3 linked regions of the Saccharomyces cerevisiae S288C genome follow. Changing the gene in region 1 together with any one later gene gives a genetic interaction. Each region holds a gene or a part of one and is shown in the gene's direction. Other genes may lie near its edges.

Evidence for each region. Genes that interact genetically often act in the same process or in processes that back each other up.
Region 2: mutations in MSN5 (region 1) and SWI4 are lethal when combined (synthetic lethality), as found in Saccharomyces cerevisiae (6 studies listed by BioGRID, with this or other methods).
Region 3: mutations in MSN5 (region 1) and RPA34 together harm fitness more than expected from each alone (negative genetic interaction), as found in Saccharomyces cerevisiae (3 studies listed by BioGRID).

The regions. Positions count from the first base shown.
Region 1 is NC_001136.10:1,139,392-1,145,342, forward strand, and holds MSN5 (karyopherin MSN5), read left to right. Parts: upstream 1-1,776; coding exon 1,777-5,451; downstream 5,452-5,951. Other genes in the region: chromatin-remodeling protein SWR1, read left to right, coding at 1-1,085; translation initiation/elongation factor MRX8, read left to right, coding at 5,701-5,951.
Region 2 is NC_001137.3:382,095-387,835, reverse strand, and holds SWI4 (SBF complex DNA-binding subunit SWI4), read left to right. Parts: upstream 1-1,959; coding exon 1,960-5,241; downstream 5,242-5,741. Other genes in the region: U6 snRNA complex subunit LSM4, read right to left, coding at 41-604; karyopherin KAP123, read left to right, coding at 5,733-5,741. UniProt on the Saccharomyces cerevisiae protein: Part of a complex involved in cell-cycle-dependent transcription. SWI4 and SWI6 are required for formation of the cell-cycle box factor-DNA complex. The repeated element in the upstream region of HO (5'-CACGAAAA-3') is called the cell cycle box (CCB).
Region 3 is NC_001142.9:138,360-141,638, forward strand, and holds RPA34 (DNA-directed RNA polymerase I subunit RPA34), read left to right. Parts: upstream 1-2,077; coding exon 2,078-2,779; downstream 2,780-3,279. Other genes in the region: SCF ubiquitin ligase complex subunit DAS1, read left to right, coding at 1-1,011; SMT1 (Smt1p), read right to left, coding at 3,060-3,279. UniProt on the Saccharomyces cerevisiae protein: DNA-dependent RNA polymerases catalyze the transcription of DNA into RNA using the four ribonucleoside triphosphates as substrates. Component of RNA polymerase I (Pol I) which synthesizes ribosomal RNA precursors.

The DNA.
Region 1 (5,951 bases):
AATCAAGCATTATTGATAATGAACTAATAAAACCCTTGCAAACCAGGGTATTGGATAATAGAAAGATCATAGATACCTTTGCAGTGTTAACCCCAAGTGCCGTCTCACTAGATATGAGAAAGTTGGCATTGGGATTAAATGATGACAGTTCGGTAGGCGAAAACACAAGGCTAAAGGTAATGCAGAACTGTTTTGAAGTATCCAACCCATTACACCAACTGCAAACCAAATTAACAATCGCATTCCCGGACAAATCGCTGCTTCAATACGATTGTGGTAAATTGCAGAAGTTAGCAATTTTATTACAGCAGCTGAAGGACAATGGACATAGGGCACTTATCTTCACACAAATGACAAAAGTTTTGGACGTTCTGGAACAGTTTTTAAACTATCATGGTTATTTGTATATGAGACTAGATGGTGCCACAAAGATCGAAGACCGTCAAATCCTAACAGAGAGATTCAACACTGACTCAAGAATAACGGTATTTATCCTATCAAGTAGATCAGGAGGGCTAGGTATCAATCTGACTGGGGCAGATACAGTTATTTTTTACGATTCAGATTGGAATCCAGCCATGGACAAACAGTGTCAAGATAGATGTCACAGAATTGGACAGACTCGAGATGTGCATATTTACAGATTTGTCAGCGAACATACCATAGAAAGCAATATCTTAAAAAAAGCCAACCAAAAAAGACAATTGGATAATGTTGTTATTCAAGAGGGTGACTTCACAACAGATTATTTCAGCAAACTTTCGGTGAGAGATTTATTGGGATCCGAATTGCCCGAAAATGCTTCAGGTGGAGATAAACCACTAATAGCAGATGCAGATGTGGCAGCCAAAGATCCCAGACAACTGGAAAGACTTCTTGCGCAAGCGGAAGATGAGGATGATGTTAAAGCTGCAAACTTAGCCATGAGAGAAGTCGAAATTGACAATGACGATTTCGACGAAAGCACAGAAAAAAAAGCAGCTAATGAAGAGGAAGAAAATCATGCTGAACTTGATGAGTATGAGGGCACTGCCCATGTTGACGAGTACATGATCAGGTTTATTGCCAACGGTTATTATTATTGAAGGACCAGGTTCTACTCTTCACCGCTGCCTTAGTTGTCCAAATCGGACTATATACCTATTGTGAATATTTTAATGATATATAGCCATAATGAATCAACAAATTGTATTATTATTTCCGACAACACTATCGCCTCTTGGTTTTTATGGTAATGTACTCACCATGGCATTGTTCCTTGGTCACCAATTTCTATTTACCGGGTGATGGCGGCGCGCCACAGCGGAGGGGCATTGCCACATTGCTGCGCGATCAAGGTTGGTTTTTCCAAAGAGACTTCAAGAGTACTAAGCTTTTGATGTAGTAATATTTGTCAAAGAGTTTTAAGAGCAAGATTCCATTGAACAGAGGTGCTGGAGTGACGAGCGTGTGTGTTTTTAGCCTATCTTTATTCGTTGAGCCTGTAGAAGAGCCGTTCTTTTAAGTACACCCTGATTAGATCCCCCTATTTGTTGCAACCGTTCAAGTTTTGTAGATCGGAAGAAGAGCAAAACAGAAAAATAAACAAGGCGAGAACGTAAGGTGTCATTGCATTAGCCATTAAAAACCATATTCACTCTTTACATTCGTGTAGCAATTGTTACTGTGATAAACTATTGAAATTATTTATAGTATATTTTGTTTTCTTCCTTTTAATCACTTTTTGAATTTTTAGAATCTGAAATTTTTTTTCTAACGTTGATTGGAAGAAAAGTAATGGATTCCACAGGCGCTTCTCAGATTGTTAGCGCACTAGATGTTATTTACTCCCCCAAGTCTAACAATTCTCAACGGCAAGAAGCTCAGAAATTTTTAGATGAAGTGAAATTATGCTCAGAATCGCCCTTTTGGGGCTACGAAATTGCATTGCAAAACCCCACTAATTCTATATTGAAATACTTTGGACTAGGATTACTAGACCATGCAGTGAAGAAAAACTGGAATGATTATGACGAGGGGAAAAGAGTGGCCCTGAGAAAATGGGTCATGGAACTTAATTTTGGGGTGCAAGATTATGATACCAGATATATTAAGGAAAAATTAGCCACTTTATGGGTAGAGGTGGCAAAAAGAACATGGGGTGAGGCTCTTAAGCAGACAAACCCTACGGAAGAACAGTTACTCACATCTTGGGTGGACATGGACAATAACCTTTTCGAACTTTGGAACATAAATCAATCGTCAAGAGAACTAGCATTAATAATTTTCAGAATCCTTTTTGAAGATGTTTTCTTGTTGGACGACCTAATTGTTTTGAAAAGGATGACGGTTATTCAACCCTTATGTGTAATGATTGTTTGCCCTATTGAAGTTTTCGCAATAAAATACAAATTCAGTGATAAATGGACCAAATTTAAAGCTAATGAAGAGGGCTGGTTTTCTGTTTGGATTCCAGAGTTGAATAATGCATTACAACAGAATAATTCTGAATACATCATAAGGCTTTTAGAAACTCTGAAGACGTGTTTAAACTGGCCATTAACAGAGGTCATTGTAAGAAATGACGTGTTATCCTCCTTATTGACTTGTTTATCCAGCAATATCCCAAGGGCGCAGTCAATGGCATTAGACTCGATACATATTCTGTTGACCCGTCCCTATAGTAATGAAAGCCATTACCAAATGACCATAGATCGAGTTTTTGATAATATGGACTTATTAGATAGCGTTTATGAAAGCTTGTTGTTTGATCCTACAGATGATATAGATGAAACGAAATATCCTATAATTAAAAAGTTCGTGGATATGATCAGTTGTCTCTATGTTTGTGTCCCAAAGATTAAGGAGACAAATGGCCAAATTCAAAAATATTTTAAGCTTGTATTAAAGACAACTTATAACCCAAGCTTAATCGTTAGCGGATTAACATTAGACCTATGGTGTACCTGTCTTCGAAACGATGAATACTTACCCAAGCTGGAGAAATATGTCATTCCTGATCTACTACAGTTTGCCGCGGATGCTTTAGTCTATTATGAACAGATTGATGGTCATATTTCCAAAAAATTTGCGGAGATTGATTTTCAATCCAAGTCCGAATTTCAAACATTTTGTTCCACTTATAGGAAAAGAATAAGAGACATCATTAGGTTGATTTCTTGCGTCGAATTAGACCTTACTTATGATTGGTTGAACAACAGATTAAACAATTATTTCAGCTCTCCATTTGGTCAGCAGGTCTTAAGTTCCACATTTTTGGACCATAAATTAGAGCCTTATTTAGGTGCCCTCTCCCAATACATGATTGTTGAATGTTTCATCAATGGTTGTATAAGATGGAAGATCTGGTATCCAACAGGAGATGATTATGACGAAAAACTAGATTCCATATTACAAAAACTGGAAATTTTGTCAAACCAGTTAATTGCATTAAATTTAAGAGAACCATTGTTATTGAAGAAACAAATCCAAAATTTTGCACTTTTTTTGACAATGTTAAAAGATAATGTGCTTTTCACACTTTTAGAAAAAATCATAACAAGCGCCACGATGGACTATCCAGAAATTAATTTGGAAGAGAGAGGCGCTGAATCAGACGCAGTTAGAGATTTGAGATATGCTTGTGGTATCGAGTTGAATAGGATGGCTTTATTAATGCCCGAATCTCTGAAAAAAATATACCCAGACCTTGAAAGTGTCATTGCCAGAATCATGCCCAACTTATCTTACCATGAAAAAATTTCCTTCAAATCCTTCTTATTGATCATTGTATTGAAGTCTTCATTAGATATGAAAGAGGAAAGATTTGCGGCTATTGTGGATCCAGAACTTTTAGCCTGGTCTGATAAAACAACAGTTGTTGGTCTTTCTGATTTGCATTGGTTTATGGAACGCTTAGGTATTGTTCAGATCGCAGAATATTTCCAGAGGCGTGATATCGACGAAAATAGTGACCTTTTATCAATTCCAATTGATGATGAGGGTAAAGAGCTGAAGTCGGAATTGACCAAACGTTGGCAAAGCTTGTTTCCTGTTCGTGCAACAAGAATGTTCATTCATTATTCAATGCAAAGTATAAAGACAGATGAAGAATTCAAAATGCTACAAGATCTGTGGAGACCTAGGATTGTCCCAATATTACCTTACATCACGAGACTACTGTACCAATTGCAATCCTACCACGATCCAGATAATTGGAAAGGATTACCTACGGTTGTGCAATCCTTCGTCAAGTATTCCACTATTGAAAGATTTTGGGAGGCCGGAGCTTCAAATAAATCAAAGGATGAGTTTATTGATGAACATATGAAAGCGATGCAAACCTTACGAGACTTCGCCGACTCCGTAGGACACATCATTAGGTATACAAGGGAATACACTCTACTTGTTTTAAGTGCCATATCATCACTTGGTAGTGTTTTTTACCTTTTGGACGAATCGCCCGACCTACTACTGAACTCTATTGCCATATTTAAGCCAGGTAGCAATGAGATAAGCCCTGGAGTTTCAACACATGGATGGAAACACATAATGAATATAGCCATTCGTCCTATATTAAAAGGTTGTCCAAAAGATTGTCTGGGGAAATTCATGCCCGCATTTTTGCCTAAATTATTTGAAATCCTGGACCTGCTGCTATGTCAGAAATGGTCCTCGCATATGAATGATATGGACATGAACCCAGTTCCAACTGACGATGATCAAATGACTGAAGAAATTTTGGAAGAGAATTTGTTGAGACAACTAACCACAGTTGTTGTTAGAATAGTAATTGATTGTGTTGGTCAAGGCAATGCCAATCCAAACAGTGCTAAAAGCAGGCTAAATAACCATCAAATGGAGATGAGAAAAATTATATTTAATGATTTAAACACCCTTGCTCCATTTTTGAAACTTTTGAACCATTTAATTTCCTTCAAGGATACAAAATGTTCATTTAACTCCATCCTAGTAATGAAATGCTGCTTAACCTCAGTCCTTAATCAAAACAACACGGTGGATGAATATTTCACATTTGAAGTGATGAAAAATCTGTTGCTAAATGTGCTGTGTAATAGTGCGTTTAAGGATTCTTTCCATGAGGCACTATATGCTTTCACTGTGATTTTTTTGACTCTGTGCAAAGAATATCCCTCTGCTAGAGCGTTCCTTTTTGAGATATCTAATGGTTATAATATTGATGAGTTATACAGAAATTTAAGGAGCGTGGACGAATACAAAACACAAAGGGCACTCATGATTGATTTTATAGATTGGGTTAAATCCACCAGTGGGAAAGAAGATGGTAATGTGGACCATGCAGGCGATGAGAGAAAAAGACAAGAGAAAAGGGAAGCTATCCTCAAGAAGGCAAATGAGAGATTAATTAAGAAGAATAAAGAAAACGGAGACATGCTGGATGATCCGAACATTGAAGACGGTGCTGTGGGTAATCTCTTTGATGACAACTGATAATAAGGTGCCATATATACGTAGATGTGTAGATGAAATTAGAGAAAGCAAATAGACATCTGAATCGTGCTAAAAATTGTAATTATTGTGAAAAAAAAAATTCTGTATTCGCAATTTTTTTAATGAAAGTCGGCAGCCGGTAAATATGCATATAATCAAGCGTTTTAATGTGGGTCTGAACAAGGTATTTCTGAAGATTTTTTCTTCACATATTCCCTAATATTTTAGCGAAATAGGAAACCATTGGCAATGGAACAACTGTGTAAGAGGTACGTGCATACACCGGCGGCTTTTATACAAAACATTGTTGCTAACACTAAAAGAACAACGCTAGCCACGCAATTATCTGTTGAAAAAGCTAAAAAAAAAGTTCCCAAGACAGCTCTTAAAAAGAAACTTAATAGTAGGCCAAAAGAAAGGCTTCCGAATTGGCTAAAACTAAACGATGTTTTTAACATACATTACGAAAAGCCATCTAACTCTGATATAAATAAGGTTAA
Region 2 (5,741 bases), on another chromosome or scaffold:
TATTTATATATGTACATAATTATTATAATACAAAATTTGTTTAAAATTCGACCTTTTGTGGAGAAGAGCTGTTAAAATGATGTTGGACGGACCCACCTAAACCATTGTTCATATTTTGGTTGTTGCTATTGATACTGTTGATACTGTTGTTAATGTTACTGCTGTTGCTGTTGTTGTATTGACGGTTTTGAGAGTATGGACGGCGGTTGCTGTTGCCGTTATTATTATTTCTTCTGTTGTAGTTACCTCTATTGTTGTTTGAATCCCTATTGTTGTAGTATCTTTTATGCCCAGGGCCGTTACTATTAGAGTTATTGTTGGAGTTAATTTGCTGCTTGACCTTGTCAATTATATTATCTTGCAATTTGATAAACTTGATAAAAGTCCCTCTAATATAAATTTCGTTCAATTTTACGGCTTTACTGCTCTCAGCATTGTCTTCTGAATTAATTGCGCTTTCTTCACTATATTCGGTTACATTAGATAAAGTAAGGTTCATCCAGTTATCTACGTTGGTCAATATCCCTTGTATAATTTCACCGTTTTTCAATTCTATTTGCATTTGTTGTCCCTTCGCATTTGTTAAAAGATATAAAGGTAGCATTGAGAAAAAATATTCTATTGTGTTTCTTTTCAGTTCGAGTTGAAGATTTATCAGTTTTTCAACTCTGTTTTACTAATACTACTTCGTTAATTTACTTTTACGATTTCCTTCTTTACCGCTTCCATCATTAGGAAGGTCTATGATACTACGATTTCACGAAAGAAAGCTGCAATAATTGAACATCATTGCTACTCCGTAAAACATGATAGTAAGAGTGCTTATCACGTGACACGTGTGCGGCAAATTTCGTAATTGATGATCAAAATGCGTGTGGGCGGCTACAATGCGGAATTTGCCTTTTTCATAGTACAGGAAACTGGCGGTAAAGGAAAAGTAGTACTTTAAACTCATTTAAAATTACTTATCACTATGAATATCTTTAAATTATTGTTATACATAATAAACTATCTATTAAAAAAAAGATGCTACCCAATTCACGTTGTCCATGGTTATTTTAGAGCCTAAAAATAAAAGGCAGTAGGTTTAGAGGGACTTCAGTACAAGTAGATAACGAACGAAGCAATTACTCTGTGTACGGTGGCGGAAAAAATGAAATGTTACTTAAGAAGGAGGTAATATAAGTACATTACATTTCAACCGCATTGTGACTGCGTACTTTAAACGATAGGTGACTGCGGATCTTAGGTCGTTTAGCAGCATACGAAAATTAGTTTTACTAAACTAGACATCTAGTAAAAGGCTGTCGAAATCTCTCAATTTAAAGAGAACCTGCTACTGACTATAAATTTTGTCACTACAAATTATTGGTTTAATCTAGCCTTCATTATGGATACAATTACCTTCGGCGGCTAAAAACAACTTGATTTTGTTACCCGCGTTTGAAGTGACGCGTCACTAACCATGACGCGAAAGTTAATTATATTCAGCTCCCCGCCTGCTTATTTCCCGTTTAGGAAATAAATGGTTAACCTAACAAAAAAAAAAGAGGAACAAGGACTAAGAAGCACGTCAACGTGAAAAACGCACAAAAGATATTATAGTTATTGCCATCCTTTAGCATTGGTTTAGCATATCAACTAATTGACTAATATTTGCTGCTAAATTCAACTGGAAGCTTTTTTTTTTTTCGAGATAATAAAAAAAGAAACTCTTTAGTGTATTGTGTTATTTTTACTATTAATTGTTGTTACAGCAGAATCACATCTAGCATTGGTCGTCGCTTTTTCAAACGATTCTTCCTCCACTTACCCTTTGAAAAAAAGGTACATTATTTCACGTTATTTGATATATTGTCAACAATAATTGCTCTTTGCCGAAAATTAACTCTTCTTTCTTTCTCATTTCCCTTCTGTCCCTCTTGCGTAGTTCTAAAAGGTTGATTTATTCGAGAAATCATGCCATTTGATGTTTTGATATCAAACCAAAAAGATAATACCAATCACCAGAACATCACGCCAATATCAAAATCAGTTCTTTTGGCGCCTCATTCAAACCATCCAGTGATTGAAATAGCTACGTATTCAGAAACCGATGTATACGAATGCTATATACGTGGGTTTGAAACTAAAATAGTGATGAGAAGAACTAAAGATGATTGGATTAATATTACCCAGGTTTTCAAAATAGCTCAATTTTCGAAGACGAAAAGAACTAAAATACTGGAAAAGGAATCAAATGATATGCAACATGAAAAAGTTCAAGGTGGGTATGGTAGGTTTCAAGGTACTTGGATCCCACTGGATTCAGCGAAGTTTTTAGTCAATAAGTACGAAATAATTGACCCTGTGGTCAACTCCATCTTAACTTTTCAATTCGATCCAAATAACCCTCCACCAAAGAGAAGCAAAAATAGTATATTGAGGAAGACTTCGCCGGGAACGAAGATAACTTCTCCATCGAGCTACAATAAAACACCAAGAAAAAAGAACAGTAGTTCATCAACATCGGCTACAACTACAGCTGCGAATAAGAAAGGCAAGAAAAATGCATCGATCAACCAGCCGAATCCAAGTCCTTTACAAAACCTTGTTTTCCAAACTCCTCAACAGTTCCAAGTAAATTCATCAATGAATATAATGAACAATAATGATAACCACACCACGATGAATTTCAACAATGACACAAGACACAATTTAATAAATAATATTAGTAACAACAGCAATCAATCTACTATTATTCAACAACAAAAATCCATTCATGAAAACTCTTTCAATAATAATTATTCGGCAACTCAGAAACCTCTTCAATTTTTTCCAATTCCGACAAATTTACAAAACAAGAACGTTGCTCTGAATAACCCTAATAATAATGACAGTAATAGTTACAGCCATAACATCGACAATGTCATTAACAGCAGTAATAACAATAATAATGGCAATAATAATAACTTGATCATAGTTCCAGACGGACCTATGCAAAGCCAACAACAACAACAACATCATCATGAATATTTGACGAATAACTTCAATCATTCCATGATGGACTCCATTACAAATGGCAATAGTAAAAAAAGGAGGAAAAAGCTGAATCAATCTAATGAACAACAATTTTACAACCAGCAAGAAAAAATACAAAGGCATTTCAAATTAATGAAGCAACCCTTATTATGGCAATCCTTTCAAAATCCAAATGATCACCATAATGAGTACTGTGACAGTAACGGCAGCAACAATAACAACAACACTGTAGCATCCAATGGCTCCTCCATTGAAGTATTTTCATCAAATGAAAATGATAACAGTATGAATATGTCTTCACGATCTATGACACCGTTCAGCGCAGGAAATACTTCATCTCAAAACAAGTTGGAAAACAAAATGACAGATCAAGAATACAAGCAGACGATATTAACAATACTATCATCGGAAAGGTCTTCTGATGTAGATCAAGCGTTGTTGGCTACTTTATATCCGGCGCCCAAAAATTTTAACATAAATTTTGAAATTGATGATCAAGGTCACACTCCACTCCATTGGGCTACAGCTATGGCGAATATTCCTTTGATAAAAATGCTAATTACCTTAAATGCTAATGCATTACAGTGTAATAAGCTCGGTTTTAATTGCATCACAAAATCAATTTTCTACAACAATTGCTACAAGGAGAATGCTTTCGATGAAATAATATCCATCTTAAAAATATGTCTTATAACTCCCGACGTAAATGGAAGATTGCCATTTCATTATTTAATTGAATTGAGCGTTAATAAGTCCAAAAATCCAATGATAATAAAATCTTATATGGATTCGATAATATTGAGCTTGGGTCAGCAGGACTACAATTTGTTGAAGATATGTTTGAACTACCAAGATAATATAGGGAACACTCCACTGCATTTATCTGCTTTAAACTTGAACTTCGAGGTTTACAACAGACTGGTATATCTTGGTGCGTCAACAGATATATTGAATCTAGATAACGAATCGCCTGCGTCAATAATGAATAAGTTTAATACTCCGGCTGGCGGGTCAAACAGCAGAAACAACAACACCAAGGCAGATCGAAAGTTAGCTCGAAACCTTCCTCAAAAGAATTATTACCAACAACAGCAACAGCAACAGCAACCACAAAACAATGTCAAAATTCCAAAAATTATAAAAACTCAACATCCTGATAAAGAAGATTCTACTGCAGATGTCAATATAGCTAAAACAGATTCTGAAGTCAACGAAAGTCAATACCTGCATTCCAACCAGCCAAATTCTACAAATATGAACACTATTATGGAAGACTTGTCGAATATTAATTCTTTCGTGACGTCGTCTGTCATTAAAGATATAAAGTCTACGCCGTCCAAAATTCTTGAAAACTCTCCCATTTTATACAGAAGAAGATCACAGTCAATATCAGATGAAAAAGAAAAGGCAAAGGATAATGAGAATCAAGTTGAAAAGAAAAAGGATCCCTTGAATAGTGTGAAAACTGCCATGCCATCATTGGAATCGCCTTCTTCCCTTCTGCCGATACAGATGTCTCCACTAGGAAAGTACTCAAAACCGCTTTCGCAGCAGATCAACAAATTAAATACAAAAGTTTCTTCTCTACAAAGAATAATGGGTGAAGAAATTAAAAATCTGGACAACGAAGTAGTAGAAACCGAATCCTCTATTTCTAACAATAAGAAGAGATTGATTACAATAGCACATCAAATAGAGGATGCTTTCGATTCCGTATCAAACAAAACTCCCATAAATTCGATATCAGATTTACAATCAAGGATTAAAGAAACATCGTCAAAGTTGAATTCTGAAAAGCAAAATTTTATTCAAAGCTTGGAAAAATCTCAAGCTTTAAAACTGGCTACAATTGTCCAGGATGAGGAATCAAAGGTTGATATGAATACTAACTCAAGTTCACATCCAGAAAAACAGGAAGATGAAGAGCCAATTCCAAAGTCAACGTCGGAAACTTCTTCTCCTAAAAACACCAAAGCGGACGCCAAATTTTCTAATACTGTACAAGAATCATATGATGTAAATGAGACGTTGAGACTAGCAACGGAACTAACTATTCTACAGTTTAAAAGAAGGATGACAACATTGAAAATAAGCGAAGCTAAAAGCAAAATTAATTCATCGGTGAAGTTAGATAAATACAGAAACTTGATTGGTATCACAATTGAGAACATTGACTCAAAATTGGACGATATAGAAAAGGATTTGAGGGCAAACGCATAAATTTTAATTCACAATGTACCAATAATTTTTACTATATTATCAGAGTTTTTAAATTTTTTTTTTTTTTTTTTGGTAGCAATTTTTTACATATTTGTATAGTCACTTTTCTCATTGCGCTTGAGTTGCTTCAAGTGCATGTCAACAAACATTTGAACTACTAAACTTAGACTATTATGGTTAGCCCTTTGCTAATTATCAGGATGTCTTTTATTACGATTGTGCTTTGTTTTCGTACAATATGATGAATGGAAAGCGCGATGAGATGAGGTCGAAAAAAAAAAAAAAAAAAAAAAAAATAGAAACATCCACTTATCCATAGATCCTTCATTTTATTTGTTGTCAGGTTTGGTATTGATTTTATTAGTCAACAAAAAAGAATAGGCAAGACCCCGCAAGGATCCTTCTTCTCGTTTCTGTATATTACCAAAATCCTGCCTTAGCAGCATAAAAACTGAGGGACGAAAAACACTTTTTTAGTATCAAGTAGTATAATGGATCAA
Region 3 (3,279 bases), on another chromosome or scaffold:
TTTGAGAACCTGGAAGATTTGTCTTTGATTTCTATTAAGCAGGATGTTCATATCCTCGTAGATCTTTTTAGTTCGTTAACCAATTTGAAAAGACTAAAAATGGATTTCTTAGAGGAGTATGTACCTGAACCCACAAATCCTCACATATTTCTCTCCATTCTTTTAGCTTGCTCCAAATTGCAATTCATAGATCTGAGATACGACGGTCTTATCCCACAAATCATCAATATTCAAGAAAATAAGTTCCAACTAAATCAGCAATGCAACTGCACAAACTGTCAAATAGTATTCAGTGACATTCTGAAGGGCAAAATATTCATGTTCCCTGAAGACTACTATATTCACGATCTTCAAGACATTGCTGCAAAGGATATTTTTAAAATGATGAAATACCTATCTTTGTTACCATACTCTAAAGCTTGTGATGCTTATCCGAGCGTTAGAACACAACCAATGAATTTGACTAATTTTGTGACCAAGATGAACCGCAACCTTTTGGAATATAGAAATTCTAAATCCCAGTTGGTGCCCAAAATCGTTAATAACCCACATCAACACTCCACCGTGACTTCCACATCAACCGCTCATATGAGCGAGCCCGAAATGATAATAATCGATGACGATGATGATGATGATGAAATTAATGCGGCCATTCCTCCAAGTAGTGATGACACAGCAGCTACAATTTCCACTGACCTGGAACTTCCTCATGAATCATTGACCAAAAGAGATATTATTATGTGTTATCACGCTCTTATCCATCACTTCAAGTCGATTTACGTTACTTTTTTGAAAAGTTTTCCTCATTTGAGATTCTTGATGTTGAATGACATTCCCACAATAGTTATGGAGGAGAATAATGAACGTATTTTTGAACCCGTCTTTTATCATTATGATTATAAGAGTAATCTGTATGGATGGTCAAAGGAATCGAACAAGAATCTGGAGAACGACAGCAACAACAACAATAATAATTCTGATACCATTGCAAGAATAGCCACTGTTATGTAATCAACTCCCCTTCAAATATATATATTTAATAATATATATTCAACGCATTTTTTAAGCTAGCAGGATTCAGATTACTGGTCTACTTCATATTAAGGAAATACAAGATCCATTCGGATGCTAGAAAAAAATCAACCAACTATTCCAATGTTGGTAAGCTGGTTTGATAAAGTAAACACAAGATACTACAGTATACGATCACTCAGACATCCTAGGAAGGTCTCTAAAGAAGAGCGGTCACCGAGAGTACTAACGATGGGTTCGTAAGCGTACTCCTACCGTGGAAACTGCGAATGTTAAGGAACCAGTCTTTCATCACCGTGATCATAAATTATATATATTATCTGTCTCCTCAAATTACCCACATTTGATAATCTCATGAGAAAAAATAAAGGCTCAGATCTGCATGTGTTGTATAACACTGGCAAGAAAAGTTCCCGTTTGCAAACACAAATGATTAAAAAAAAATGTCACAGAAGCAACATCTTTTCAAAATCATTCGCATTAAGAGAACGAGATAAAATCCCTTGTCGTCATGGTCGAATCGGACGAGGAAAGAAGAGACACCATTATCATCAGGGCCAATCAATTCTTCTTTTCTGTTTAAAAAAGTGTCATGAAATTTCTCTTGAGATTATTCAAACTTGAATGTATCAAATGGGAAGGAGTGCAATGCTGAAGTCGAAAGAGGAGGATTACTCTCATTCTTACTACATTACAGTCACTGCTGTTTGTTCTTATGTAGGGGAATTCTTATTAACCGAATGTCGAGATTATTATAACCTTACAGAAGGTTGTCCAGTATTTATACATTTTGTTTCTGCCCATAAAGCTCTAGAAAATGAAAAAAAATTTTCTTTTCAGCCTGAGAAAGTTTTTTCTTAGGGCAGCGTGTGGTTATTGGGTGTTGCGAAACTTTTTTTCTCAAACATGAAATTAAAGAAATGAAAAATTTTATCGATGAGCATTGAATAGCTCAAGTTATAGGGTATTCGGTATCATATAGGTCTGTGATCGAGTGAGCAGTGAGCAGCTAGGATTCAATAAACGGGATTAACAAAAAATTGATATGTCCAAGCTTTCGAAAGATTACGTATCAGATTCAGACTCTGATGATGAAGTGATATCAAACGAGTTCAGCATACCAGATGGTTTCAAGAAATGTAAACATTTAAAGAATTTCCCTCTCAACGGTGATAACAAAAAAAAAGCGAAACAGCAACAGGTTTGGCTGATCAAATTCCCATCAAATGTGGACATCTCCAAGTTAAAATCTCTGCCTGTAGATTTTGAATCCTCTACAACCATGACAATTGATAAACACGATTATAAAATCATGGACGATACAGATATTGAGTCCTCGTTAACACAGGATAACCTCAGTAATATGACTTTATTGGTTCCTTCGGAAAGTAAGGAAAGTCTTAAAATTGCTAGCACTGCCAAGGATAATGCACCATTACAGTTTGACAAGGTATTTTCTGTCAGCGAAACCGCTAAAATCCCAGCTATTGATTACAGTAAGGTAAGAGTTCCACGTAAAGATGTTCCAAAAGTAGAAGGCTTGAAGTTGGAGCATTTTGCTACTGGTTATGATGCCGAAGATTTCCATGTGGCTGAGGAAGTTAAAGAAAATAAGAAAGAACCAAAGAAGCGTTCACATCACGACGATGAAGAGGAGTCTAGTGAAAAGAAGAAAAAGAAGAAGGAGAAGAGGGAGAAGAGGGAGAAGAAGGATAAAAAGGATAAGAAAAAGAAACATAGAGATTGAATGCGTATGTGCGTATAACTGTGTGTAACATAAGATAAAAATGTGCATTTGTGTGTGTGTCAGTGATTTTTTTTCGCATTTACATATATAAAAAGGCATTTCTGCTGGTGGAAACTGATGAATGTTTTGTGTGGGCAATATTACTATTTAGTTTTGCATACTTAAATTTGTGTATACGATTAGAAATTTCAATATTTCGGGTGTAACACAAACGATTATTTTTTTCTTGATTTAGAGTCGCCATATGAATATTATTAACCTGCTTTTTCTGTGTTCTCTCTTATATGAGGTTCAATGGTAAGTGTGTTTTTAACTCGTGTTCTTCTTCATTAATCATCTTTAATACACTTCCAAGGTTGACCTGTAAATCTTCAAAGATTAGTTTATCCTGGCACGTCCGATGGATACTCCGTATAGAAATATCTAAGGATCTAATAAATTTGTATTGGTCCATTATTGGTGTGGACGGTTTCTTCGGTGACTCCAGCATTATTTTGCTT